2 linked regions of the Arabidopsis thaliana genome follow. Each later gene encodes a partner of the first gene's protein in a complex. Each region holds a gene or a part of one and is shown on either strand. Other genes may lie near its edges.

Region 1 (8,314 bases):
TCAAACAGCCTCTCTTTCAAAAAGTGAGCAGCACCATGTGCAATCATGCAATCGCGCTCCATTTCTCCAAAACGGAGACCACCATCACGTGATCGCCCTTCAGCTGGTTGTCTTGTTAAGATTTGCACCGGACCTCGTCCACGCGAGTGAATCTTGTCATCAACCATATGCTTCAATCTTTGGTAATATGTTGGTCCAAGGAATATCATAGCTGTGAGTGGTCTGCCCGTGTGACCATTGTACATTCTCTCAAATCCACGCATTTGGTACCCACACTTATGAAGGGCTTTGCTTATATTATCCACCTAACGACACAACATTGGTCAAAACTAATAATACCAAGCCCAATGCTAACTAAGCAGCTAAGGAAAATGCAAGTTACCGTGACATCTGTAAAGGGAGTAGCATCTCCTTCTTTTCCCATGTGAGCTGCCACTTTTCCCATGATGCACTCAATTAGCTGTCCAATTGTCATTCGAGACGGAATAGCATGTGGATTCACAATAATGTCCGGAGTGACCCCTTCAATCGTCCATGGCATATCCTCCTGCGTGTAGGTCATGCCAACAGTTCCCTTCTGACCGTGTCTACTACTAAATTTGTCTCCAATTTGAGGAATCCGCACGGATCTGACCCTCACTTTCACAAACCTCAAACCATCTGCATTTGTAGTCAATAACACCTACACGAAGTTACAAGAATTGATCAGTTTCATATTTCAATCCTGAAACTTTCTAAACCCTTAACTGCAAGGAAAAGCCAAAGTTACCTGATCCACCATTCCAGTTTCACTATGTCGCAAGCTTATACTATGATCACGTCTAGTGTATCGGGATGATTGTCCTTGAGCCTCATCTTGAGATATTGGAGTGGTTTTCCCAATGATAACATCTTCACCTGAAACTCTAGTACCCTATACCAAAAATAAAAGATTGTATGATATGCTTTCTAACATTAGTCACCTAATCATATCAGATAATAAATAATTAAGGAACAATAAATTATAAACTTACAGGAGGCGCAAGACCATCATCATCCAGTTTATCATAAGAACCATGTCGCATACCCTGCAGCAGAAACCCAAGTGTTAAACTTCACTTACAAAAAGCACCACTGAAGTATGAACCATGTGTCAATTACTTTCTTACCATTGTACTTCCTCTGTCTGGGCGCCCAAAGTCTTCTTTGACAAGCGTCCCCATTTTTTTCTCCTCATCTCTGTCAGCAAACGTGATTGCAGTATAAATAAATGGAAAGACCGAAGGCAAACGTCCAAAAGTATAGCATACTCACCTGTAAGACCGAAAGAACAAGGATCGAAAGAAACCACGATCTATTGAAGACTGATTCATGATGACAGAATCTTCTTGATTATATCCAGAATAGCAAGAAATGGCAACAATAGCATTCTGCACAAGAAGAAGAAAAAAAAACATTTGAGAGATTTGATACACGAGCAATGCTGAATTCTGAAAAACTTCTAGCAAAAATAACTTACAATTCCTGCTGGAAGTTGTCTAAAGTGAAGATGCTCCATAGCTCTTGTAGTAACCAAAGGCTTTTGTGGATAATAGAGAACATAAGCTAACGTATCCTGGTTGACAGAACAATAATAATTTCTTTAAAATATTGAGTGATGTAACAAGAGCTGACAAGAAAGACCACAAATTAAGAGCCTAGAACATACCATGCGAAATTGGTAGTTGGTGACATAAATTCCCATTGCTTGCTTCCCCATGGCAGATTGATATGTATTACGAGGTGACTAATACATCAAAAAGTAAAGGGTTAGTTAGCATGAAACTGAATTTACATAATGAAATCGCTTCTGATAGAAAAGTCATTTAGACAGAGGTACCTGATTATGGTCAGGAAATGGTATGATTGAAGCACAGACCCCCAATATCAGAGATGGGTGAATCTCACAATGTGTGTAGTTTTCAGTATAAGCCTCTTCTGGGCGGAGTCTAGCTTGAACCAGATCCTACAACAAACATAAGAGTAAGATTTCTGCAGAAATTAGTGCACCACAAACTCATTTAATCACATCTTCATTTCATTACTCACACTGATAGTCATGGAAATCATGGTCGTTTCCTCTTCTTCTGTGTCTATGTATTCTATAAAGCCCTTAGCAACCAGATGATGCCAACCATCTTCTTCTGCACTTTCCTGGGTTATGAAAACAAATATTGGTACAATGGAATTTATAACAAAAGATACTTTGATAACAGGTAAAAATTAGAATTTTACCCTTTGTTGCAGAGCATAGATATCTCTCTTCTTTATTAAGAGCTTCTGATTATCTACAATAAACAACGGACGGCTACAACGTCCATAATCAGTGTATATCCGGAGCTCTTTAAGACGGATATCTCTAACTACACCAACTTCAGTGTTGACATCAACCTGCAAGAGGAAAAAGTAATATGTCACTTCTGCATAAAGTTGCAATATTTTCACTAGCATATATGGAAACGTGAAAGAAACTGCATGCTTACCCTTCGTCTCAAACGTCTCAACGTTTTCACCAACATGTCAGGATCTCTATGAACTCCAACCCACATTCCATTGACAAAGATTTTTGTGGCTTGGGGTATAACAGATGGAGATATTTCCTATATTCAAGTTAAGACCTTCAGGAAACCACAAGAACCAAGGAGGCAGATGTTGGGTAAGAAATTGAATGTGAAATGCTACAGACCTCAAAATTCTCAGTACCCCATTCTTCCAAAAATTCCAATATAGGATAAGCAGCTGACCCAACTGTTATGTAGACCATGAGAGCCAAGTTTTTCACTAGACCACAAGCCTGGTACAGCAAAGCCACAATGAGCAATGGAACTATAAAATCCGAAACACCCTTATTTTATAAATATAACAATTTTACCTGTCCTTCAGGTGTTTCAGCAGGGCACATCATTCCCCACTGTGAGTTGTGCAGTTGTCTTGGTTTTGCCAATTTTCCTGGCATATCAGACTTGATTAGATTCAAGTGGGATAAACAAAAGTACAAGCCAATCTAAATTGCAAGGATGTGGATAATAAAGAGAACCATGACTAAAATACACCAACTGTACGAACAGTTACACAGAGACAAAATAGAAGTGCAGGAAAAGAACGAGGCTTTACCTTCACGTCCTATTGGAGAATTGAGACGCCTCAGATGTGACAAAGTCGAAGCATATGTCAACCGGTTAAGAACCTGTTGTTAGTTAAGTCTTTAGAGCCATATAAATCATGCAATGAATTATAATAGGCCAAAACAGTAAACCCGATAACATACATCAAGAAATTATTGGAACTCAAAAACATAATTAACATAGAATTATCCTAACCTGAGAGACTCCAGCTCTTGTGCCAGCAGCGTTTGCCTGGCCCCAGTTCCCAGTAGCAAGAGAATATTTCAGGCCAGAGGTAATTGTTTTAGCCTTAATGGCAAATTGAAGATTGACTTCTTTGCCATTGTCAACGCACTGTCAAAGAAACATGAATCAGACTTCCAAACACAGAATAACAACTTAATACTAAAGTCTTTGGCTCGAGAAAGAGTAACTATGTAAGATACCTTTTGAACATAAGATCTCACATCCCTTGTTAACTTTCGGAAAAGCTGCATGTAGAGAAGATGTTAGGTCAGTAAGAGATAAAAAAAACACTGATACTCAACAATCCCCAAGAGTGTATAATTGTGTGCCGGGAACAAACCATTCTAAATAGCCCTCCAAGTAAAGGACCAGCAAGATCCAGCCTTTTGTTACCATAATGATCCCTATCATCTTCTGGCCTTCGGCCAAGTGCACAAAGCAGCAGCCGGTGTATGATATACCTACGGATCATAGCATAATATGAGCAACACAGAAACATGTTAAGTCTATAAACATTACAAGTGAGTTAAATACCTACCCAAAATAGTAAGCTTTCTTTGTCTCGCAATGCTCCCCAATTCCTACATGAGGAAGCATTTCTTTCTGAAGGATATCTCTAGCATACCTGCAATGATAATATTGCAATCGCAAACCTCCAGTGTGAACATCTCAATAGTTGACATCTTAGATCATAATGTCCAACTTAATTGGTTTAGATTATCACATACTTTATCCTTTTTTCCTTGGTTACACCAACAGTTGCACCACGTTTTCCAATATAGTCAAGTGCAACCTGAAGTAATATGAAAGTTATCAAGTGATTGCAAGATCAATTCCTCAAGCATAATAAAATGTCATTAACCAAGTGAAAAAAAAGTGGATACCAGCTGATTTTGAATAACGAAAGCTTCTTCCAAGGAAGGCCTGAGCAACTCCATCATCTGGGTATCGGCAAAATCATAGCAGATGTGTTCCAATATGTCCTTATCGGCAACAAATCCCAGTGCACGAAATACTATGATAATAGGAATTTCTGTTCTGATGTATGGAAGAGTACATCGAATATACTGTCCAGATGAACCCTGCATCCATTTGCAACATAGAATGTAATTTATTTACCATTATCTAGAATTTAAAGAATAAATTTCGAGGAAGGATATAGTAGAGTTAAGACTAATTAGCTTTCTCTTACCCCTTTTGCACTAGCACGAGCAAGCATACGCACAAACATTGTGCTTGGAGGCCTATTTTGGTTTTCAGCCATAGAACGGACTTCACCAACATAAGCATACTTATTTGGCTGCCTTTTCTTGAACACATAAACATGATTCGTACTCATCTTCTCCTGAGCAATCAGAACCTTTTCACTGCCATTAATAATGAAGTATCCACCCTGATCATAAGGACATTCTCCAAGCTCTGTCAGGTCTTTCTCCGAGTTCTGAAACAAGGTACAGTAACTAGACCGGAGCATGATGGGAACCTAGCAAATAATCAAACAAGAAGAAAACATTTCTACTATCAGAACAGTAGAGTACATGGAAACACCTAAATAAATGTGACACAATGAACTGAGTTCGGACACCTTTCCAATGAAAACTTTAGTAAAATCCTGTGTCTCCGTAACTTCTTCACCATCATGCCCTTTCTTAATAACTCTCTTAGTAACATCGACATACAAAGGCGCAGAGTATGTGAGATTTCTCAACCTTGCAGCCTTAGGGAACAGGGTGGCAGTCTCTCCATCAGACTCTGTCATCATAGGTTTACTCAGATAAATCTGTCCAAAGCTAATCTTGTAGATTGTCTGCAGGAAAACAGCTATATCAGACATACAGAAAAACAGATAGCAAAACAGCTATATCTCAGCTCACACAAAGTCAAAAATGATTTGAGCTTCAACCGATAATAAAGACCACTGAAAGGACACTTTGAAAAAAGCGAAGAGCTCAAGCATTAAATGGAAAGATAATCTCGGAAAATCAATGAGCTTAGCTACTCGACAAAGGCAGACCCTAATTGCAACAAAACTTAAAAACTGATTTAAGCTTTAACCAATATTCAAAACCACTGAAAATACACCTCAAAAAAGCGAAGAGCTCAAGCATCGAATACAAAGATAATCATGGGAAATCATTGAGATAAGCTTCTCAGATAAGGGCTAACAATAGACTGTCTGCAGGAAAACAGACCAAAGGGACAGCAAAAAAAGATACCAAACTCATTTTTATAGTGCCAAAACTGATTTGAGTTTCAACCAATACTATAAATCCTCCTCGAAAGAGATGAGCTCAAGCATTAACTCAAAGATAATCTCGGGACATTAATAAGATTACCAGCTCAAAGTCAATATCCGGACATCAATAGTCAAAATCATTTTTTGACTCTTGAACAGCATATAGCTCAAGCATTGAATAACAAGACAATCTCGGGACATCAATAAGATTCAGGTAAACCCTAATCGCACCCAAACGGTAGAAGCTCAAATCGAAACACTTTAAAACCGCCACAAACACGATAAACCCGCACATAATTTCGAATTCCCATAGAAACCCTAGAAAAAAACAAAAACGAGGAAACAACCTCCGCAAAATCGGACTGATGGCCAGGATTATGCTGAGATTCAGGTCGGATCTCGATATCAGCAGACTCATCAACGATTTCTTGCATAGTATTTTGAATAAACTCATCAAACGAATCCAGCTGTTGACGAACGAGACCTTTCTCTTCGAAATAAGCAGATATAACAGCCCACGCGTCCTCCTGGGTAATCTCCTCATCGTCATCGTCTTCTACATATTGAGGTTCAGGTTCGTATTCGTTGTACTCCATTTATTCTCACTCTCTGAAGATTAGAGCACAGCAAACTTCACTACTCGAGCTCTCGGAGACAAAGAGAGAGACAGGACGCAGAGAATGAGACGGCTTTGTGAGATTGTGAGTTTATAAAGGCTCGAGAGAGAGAAGTCGGCTTAAGTTTATGGAAATAACCGGTTTGTATCAATAACCGGTTTGATTAAATGGGATTATAAAAAGGATCGGTTTGGTTGTTAGAGAGCTTGGATTGTTAAATGACGGAAACACCCTTACTATATAAAGAAAAGTCTCCGGCTACATTTTTGTGGCGTCAGCGATATTTTCGGAAGAAGAGAGAGAGAGACGGAGAGTGAAGGCGGAGGAAGGGAGAGAGAGATGATACCGCAGCAATGGACGCCGCCGTGTGGGAGCAAATGCACGAATAAGTACTCAGCATTTACGCAGCTTCCATGTATGTAATATCTGGACTCTTAATTTGTGTGAATCGGATTCGTTTTTGAGTTTTGATGTTCGTGGTCCGTTGTTTTTTGATGGTTTAGTTTTCGATGATGATGATAAGAATCTGTTGTTGGAGCTGATAGATTGGGTTCTGATTTGGATTGGTGATTGATTTCTTGATTCAAAAGTCAATTTAGTCTTCCGAGTGTTTCTTCTTTTTGTTGTTGTTTGGAATTGAAATTGGGATCTGTAAATTGGATTGTTGATTGATTTCTTGATTCATAAACCCTAATTATTTGTTGGTGCACTCTACTTCATTACGATTATACTAAACATTTTGGTCAAGAATCGCTTCTTTGGTTAGATTGGTCCAGAGACAACTTATAGTTGTAGTTGCAAGTATTTAAGAACATCCATCTTGACTCGTAATTGAATAATGTAGATTGAAGAATCGGCAACATTTATATTGATTACAAGTAAGGGAGATTATGCAGAGTTCTTAGAGCTTTTCTATCATGTAATTAAGAAAATGGTTAAATTAGTAGGAGAAAGTGGAAGATAATAAGTTGTAGTTTATGAACTGAAAGAAATTTAAAGGGAGAGAGTCAAAGTAACGGTATCAAAGATGCTTCTGTATCCATGTTGCTTCTATGAACTATTGACATATATGTATGCTTAAGCTAGTTAAAGGGCTTGGTTTGGCTGTTTCTGTCTTTCTGATGAAAGCTTTTCATTCTCTGATCTCTGAATTTCATTCATGGGCACAAAAGCTAGCTGAACTTATGCTTGGTATGACATTTTTTCCATAGCAATCTGGGTTTTTTTTCAGCTTTAGCATCAGTGTTTATCCTCCATGTTGTTGTATGACATTTTTTCCATAGCACTAATGTAATTCCTGAATCTGTGTAGGGAGAGTATTCTGCAAAAAGGGATGTGATGCCGATAGTGACTCATGGGAAGATTGTAAGCATTTCTTTTTAATTCTTTGTAATCTGTAACGAAACTGTTGATGAAATGATGAGCGGTTAGATTTGTCCTCACTATGGAACATCATAAAAACCAAGCTTGTCTCCTACATAACGAAATTACATGTTCATGAAGAGTATCTTCTGCTTTTCAGGTTTAAGTTTCCAAGTTAATGAATTGGTGTAATAGTAGTGTACTCTCTATAGGTGTAGGAGACTGCAGTGAAATTTGCTACAAAGATCCTGTGCTAAAAGACAGACCATGGACTGCTGTTATAGATCGTTCTCCTGGAGATGCCAAATACTCTGAGGTAATTCACACAATGAATCTTTTTCTTCAAAAAAGAGAAATGGACTGAACCGTATCTAATTGTTGTACATGTAACTCTGTTTTTAAATTCAGGAATGCTTTCACGCATGTGTAGCAGGCTGTGGTTACAAGGTTTGTTTCCTTGCTTCAACCTCAATAATTTGATGCGTTTGGAAATACACTCTACTTCTCTGAACCCGTGTGGCTGTATTTTTTTGTCATCATGCAGTTTGATGTTGAAGCTGAGATAGTCAATAAGGTGAAACCAAAGAGACCTCCACCACCACCGCCAAAGCCACAACCACCACCACCACCACCACGTTCTCAAAAACCAATGCAGCCTCCTACTGAGGATGTTCTTGCAACTTCCGCTTGACGTATCTCAACCCCCATCAAAGGCTAACACTTGGAACTCC
Region 2 (4,840 bases), on another chromosome or scaffold:
ACAATCCCAATCATCATAAAATCTGTAGAGTCCTCTTCCAATCTTAACATCGTAGACAACGTTTGGATTTCTGCAAGTGGAGTGGGTACTTATTACTCTCCAGGTATTCCTGTCCTGCATGAAGTTGTTGTCAACTGTATAGAGTCCGTCTTCCTTAATAAGTATAGTGAAAGAGCTTGTTTCAAGGAACAGTAAATGGTTGTTGTCATAAAGCGTTGTCCACTCAGCAGCATTAAGCCAACTTTGGGTTGATGCTTTAAGTACATGTGCGACATCTGGCAAATATAGCATCAAAATATATTAGATTTGTAGATATATAAATAACTATCTTAGTTTTGCTACAATGTCTTCTTCAATTAGAATTTTCCAAGCATCAGTTCTATCACAAACCTTCTCCTAGATCTCCCTAGAATCCAGATCTGCTACATTCTTAGATTTTTAAATCTTGCCTAAGTGTTACAAATTCCATAGATCTTGCATTCCCTAAATCTTGATGTTCTAAAATTTCTAAATACAATGCCTCGATTTCCCAAATTCGCCACAGTATCTCGATGATCTCCTTCAAAACTAAAAGAGTTTTTAACTAACCAAATACTCAAATACTCCTAATTTGTATTCTTAACCCTTTAACCATAGCCTAAACAATACCCAATTTTTAAAATAATAAATAAACACTTACATTGTTTTTATTGCTTTCTTTGTAAACTATGAATTTTTTTTTGTATATATATATAATTTTATATAGATTTCACTATACATATGAAGAAAATTAATCAGACACATATTATTAGTTGCACTCTCATTTTCTTGGAAGTAGGAAAAATGATATAACTTGTTTAATTGTACAAACATTACCCAATTTTTTTTATTTTATTTTTGTCGTATTGTTTTGGCCGAACCATTTTCTTCTTTTATAAAATGGGAATTTTTGCATTCTATTTTCGTAGACAAAGAGTAAATTAATCATTTGTGAGAGATAATAATAAACTTTGGATGTTCTTGTCTAGTAGCTTAAAATAAAATTGAGTATTTTTGGTTTAGATAAATGTATAAATGGTGTCTAATGTATTCTTACCATTGGATGTTTGACAAATTACACATTTCTCCATTTTCTTTAGAGTAATCAAAGGGATAAGCATTGTAAGAGTTTATAACGATGGTCCTTGTGATGATCTAAATAATGCATTAGGCAGTGCTTGTTGATTAAAGAATGATGAAATCCTTTAACACTCACATGTTAAAATATTTGTTAACATCTTGTCCTTAATATTGTTAAAGAAACTTAACTAAACTTGTTAACATTTTGATTATGGGTGTCAAAATGGGTCAAAATTTATGGGTCAACTCAATTCAACTCAACCCATGAACTCTAATGAGTTCAAAATTTTGACTCAAATGAGTTGATGGGTCAAATGAGTTGATGAGTCAATTGGTTTGATGAGTAAAATTAGTTGGGTTGTAATGGTTAATGGTACTATGAGATCATTTCAAATTTTTTGATACATGGTGTTTTCCTCCCAAATATATGACTATAATATCACTAAATACTATGAGATCTCGTAGAGTTGTTGAGTACGATAAAAGAATCTATGAAAAAAGAACTTAAATAAAGAGGTATACGTTTGACAAAAAAAAAAAGAAAAAAGAAAAAGGAAAAGGTATAAAAAAAAACATTTGAGTTGGGCTTATATGGGCCTGTTTGAAATTTGGTGACATTACTTTTCGCCAAAAGAATTAAAAAGGCCCATATAGGCCCAACTTTAAACATTACTCTAATATTTATATCTTTCTCACTTTTGCTTTATTCTGATTTCTTCTCCTATCTCCTTCTCCGGCGAAGAAATTGAAAATTCATTATCCCTAAAACCCTAATAAAGGTCCAGAGAGTCGTCAGAAACCACCGATTAGCTTTTGAAATGGACGGTGCCACATACCAAAGATTCCCAAAGATCAAGATCCGTGAGCTTAAAGATGATTACGCCAAGTTCGAGCTTCGTGAAACCGACGTTTCTATGGCCAACGCTCTCCGTCGCGTAATGATCTCCGAAGTCCCTACCGTCGCAATAGATCTAGTCGAAATCGAGGTTAATTCATCTGTACTCAACGACGAGTTCATTGCTCATCGATTAGGTCTCATTCCTCTCACTAGCGAACGTGCTATGAGCATGCGTTTCTCTCGAGATTGTGATGCTTGTGATGGAGATGGACAATGCGAGTTTTGCTCTGTTGAGTTTCGGCTTAGTTCTAAGTGTGTTACTGATCAAACCCTAGATGTTACTAGTAGGGATTTGTACAGTGCTGATCCTACTGTTACTCCTGTGGATTTCACTATTGACTCGTCTGTATCTGATTCAAGCGAGCACAAGTAAGTCCCTTTTCATCATTAGATTGTTAAATGCAGAAATGTGGTGTTTCTTTTGTCATTATGAATCGATTGGAGTTGTGAAACGTTAGAGATTAAGCAATGGTGAAACAAAATTTGCATCTTTTAGCATTCCGAGGATGAAAAATACTTCCTTTCGATGGCCCTTTGCATGACTCTTCTTGTTCGTGATTGTTTGATGTTTAATTATGGTGGTTGTGTGGGTTAAAGACTCTGTTTTTGGTTTCGGGTTTCAGGGGAATTATCATTGTGAAACTGCGTCGGGGACAAGAGTTGAAGCTTAGAGCGATAGCGAGGAAAGGGATTGGGAAAGATCATGCGAAATGGTCTCCTGCAGCTACTGTTACGTTTATGTATGAGCCTGACATAATTATTAATGAAGATATGATGGATACTTTGTCAGACGAGGAAAAGATCGACTTGATTGAGAGCAGTCCTACCAAAGTGTTTGGCATGGATCCAGTCACCAGACAGGTTAGTTTTCACGTTTTGGAAGAATGCAGCTATACAAGTTTATAGCTTTGAGACTTAAATATGATTGAACTACTTTATAGACTGCCATGCCTTGAAATATATATATGTGATGTGGTTAGTGCATTTGCTCTTTTCTGTGCTTCTCTTTCTGTTAGATAGCACTACTTAGCTCTTTAGGAGAATTACGCCAGTCATCGGAATGAATCAAATAACTGCTAAACTTCTGGTACCAAACTGAAACATCTTTCTATATCTAATCACTGCAAATTATATGAATCACTTGGAGTATCTCTGTGCCAGTTGAACTTTTGTTTGTGATTTCATGTTAGAGATTTCAAATTATTCGAATGGTAAAGGGAATAAAGAAAGGAGAAGATATAGTACTTGTAGTACCTCTGTACCAGTTGAATTTTCTTGGAGATTTCATGTTAATGGTTCAGTGTTTACTAGGACTCACCACAACTGACAATTTTCCTTTGACCCGCTAGAGAACATTGTATATCATTATAACAGTTACAGTAGTTTATCGTTGGAATTTAGTATGCCATTTCTTTTGAAGTCTGTTGCTTGAATCATCACAACTGTAATTTTTATACTTTGCTTCTTAGGTTGTAGTGGTTGATCCTGAAGCATACACTTACGATGAAGAAGTGATCAAGAAAGCTGAAGCAATGGGGAAACCGGGACTCATTGAGATCAGTCCGAAAGATGACAGTTTTATATTCACTGTTGAGTCCACAGGTGCAGTGAAGGCTTCCCAACTGGTACTAAATGCCATTGATCTTCTGAAGCAGAAGCTTGATGCAGTCCGTCTCTCAGATGACACCGTAGAAGCGGATGATCAGTTTGGTGAACTCGGTGCCCATATGCGTGGAGGATGAACTCAAGTGATTAATTCGAGCTCTTTGTTATACCTGTTTGTTTCAGGTTTTGAGTTTCTTCTGGAGCAGACTGATATTAACCGTAGTGGCACTGTCTTGTTTGATAACATGTGAAGTGGCAGTCTTCTATTTGTTCTGGACCTCTGATCCCTCTGTTCCTGAATCTTGTTAAGTTTGGTTGTTGTTAGTTGTTAGACTCGCTCGTAACGAAAATAAACGCAAGGATTAAATTCAATACATTGAACAAGTATGATTAAAATGGAACAAGTATGTAGTTTAATCTTAAAATTCGTACCATTAACTGAAATGGAATGAAAGACTTTTGCATAGTGGATACCCAATTTAAAGCTCTTAAGTTCTTGAACTTCGATCACACAATAAGTTATGGTGAGTAGCTTCCCTTGGAATGAAACAAGAGACAAAAACTCAAAAGTTTTCGAGCTAATTCATAGGTCCGAAATGATGTCATGGATCTTAGATAAGAGAATTCCGGCATTGATTACTTGGACTAATTATTAACAATCAGATTCAATCAGTAAATCTCTCAATTCTGCTTCCAAAGTGGCAGTGATGACCGCTCGTATCGCTAGTCCTTACGCCATGAGAGGGGATGCCACATTTTCACGCATTGCTGAGTGGTGAGTCGAAAGTCCAGTGGTCAAATAGGTCCAGCCACAATTTTATTTTTTAAAATTATAGGCCACCACATTTTCGTAAGAAAGTAAGTATATCTATTTAGTTGGATCAATTATGGGATCGGCACATTAAAGTTTGTGCTTTTGTGGAGATAGAAAAATTTCACAGTATTCACAAATTGAGGTACTTTTACCTAATGTCGTTTTACAGTTTCATTTTTTACAACTTTGTAAAAAAAAATTTCATTTTGTTTCTTTTTTCTTGTTCCACTATTGCAGCATCGTCTACAACATATCCCATTAATAATTTTAAATCAAACGCAATAGGAGAGATACACGTCTCCGATTAATATGCATTCGTTTCTTGGATTGGCTTTCTCTCCGTAATCAGCTCAAATTCATTGGAGAGCCGGTGAATTTTGTCGCCGTCTCTTTCTTACACGACCTCCGTGTAAACAACAATTCTC

Evidence for each region.
Region 2: NRPB2 (region 1) and NRPB3 share a complex: the UniProt entries of both Arabidopsis thaliana proteins name them as parts of the RNA polymerase II complex.

The regions. Positions count from the first base shown.
Region 1 is NC_003075.7:11,536,001-11,544,314, forward strand, and holds the start of NRPB2 (DNA-directed RNA polymerase family protein), read right to left. Parts: upstream 6,406-8,314; 5' UTR 6,201-6,405; coding exon 5,952-6,200; intron 5,176-5,951; coding exon 4,954-5,175; intron 4,852-4,953; coding exon 4,561-4,851; intron 4,451-4,560; coding exon 4,253-4,450; intron 4,162-4,252; coding exon 4,097-4,161; intron 3,994-4,096; coding exon 3,907-3,993; intron 3,830-3,906; coding exon 3,709-3,829; intron 3,614-3,708; coding exon 3,569-3,613; intron 3,477-3,568; coding exon 3,339-3,476; intron 3,206-3,338; coding exon 3,133-3,205; intron 2,968-3,132; coding exon 2,891-2,967; intron 2,813-2,890; coding exon 2,705-2,812; intron 2,619-2,704; coding exon 2,502-2,618; intron 2,410-2,501; coding exon 2,254-2,409; intron 2,173-2,253; coding exon 2,068-2,172; intron 1,985-2,067; coding exon 1,859-1,984; intron 1,766-1,858; coding exon 1,688-1,765; intron 1,595-1,687; coding exon 1,499-1,594; intron 1,410-1,498; coding exon 1,294-1,409; intron 1,219-1,293; and 9 more. Other genes in the region: AT4G21720 (defensin-like protein), read left to right, coding at 6,561-6,636, 7,533-7,586, 7,796-7,899, 7,992-8,030, 8,128-8,274. UniProt on the Arabidopsis thaliana protein: DNA-dependent RNA polymerase catalyzes the transcription of DNA into RNA using the four ribonucleoside triphosphates as substrates. Second largest component of RNA polymerase II which synthesizes mRNA precursors and many functional non-coding RNAs.
Region 2 is NC_003071.7:6,731,745-6,736,584, forward strand, and holds NRPB3 (DNA-directed RNA polymerase family protein), read left to right. Parts: upstream 1-1,789; 5' UTR 1,790-1,916; coding exon 1,917-2,365; intron 2,366-2,619; coding exon 2,620-2,857; coding exon of another isoform or gene 2,858-2,902; exon of another isoform or gene 2,903-3,012; coding exon of another isoform or gene 3,013-3,060; exon of another isoform or gene 3,061-3,465; coding exon 3,466-3,738; 3' UTR 3,739-4,075; downstream 4,076-4,840. UniProt on the Arabidopsis thaliana protein: DNA-dependent RNA polymerase catalyzes the transcription of DNA into RNA using the four ribonucleoside triphosphates as substrates. Component of RNA polymerase II which synthesizes mRNA precursors and many functional non-coding RNAs.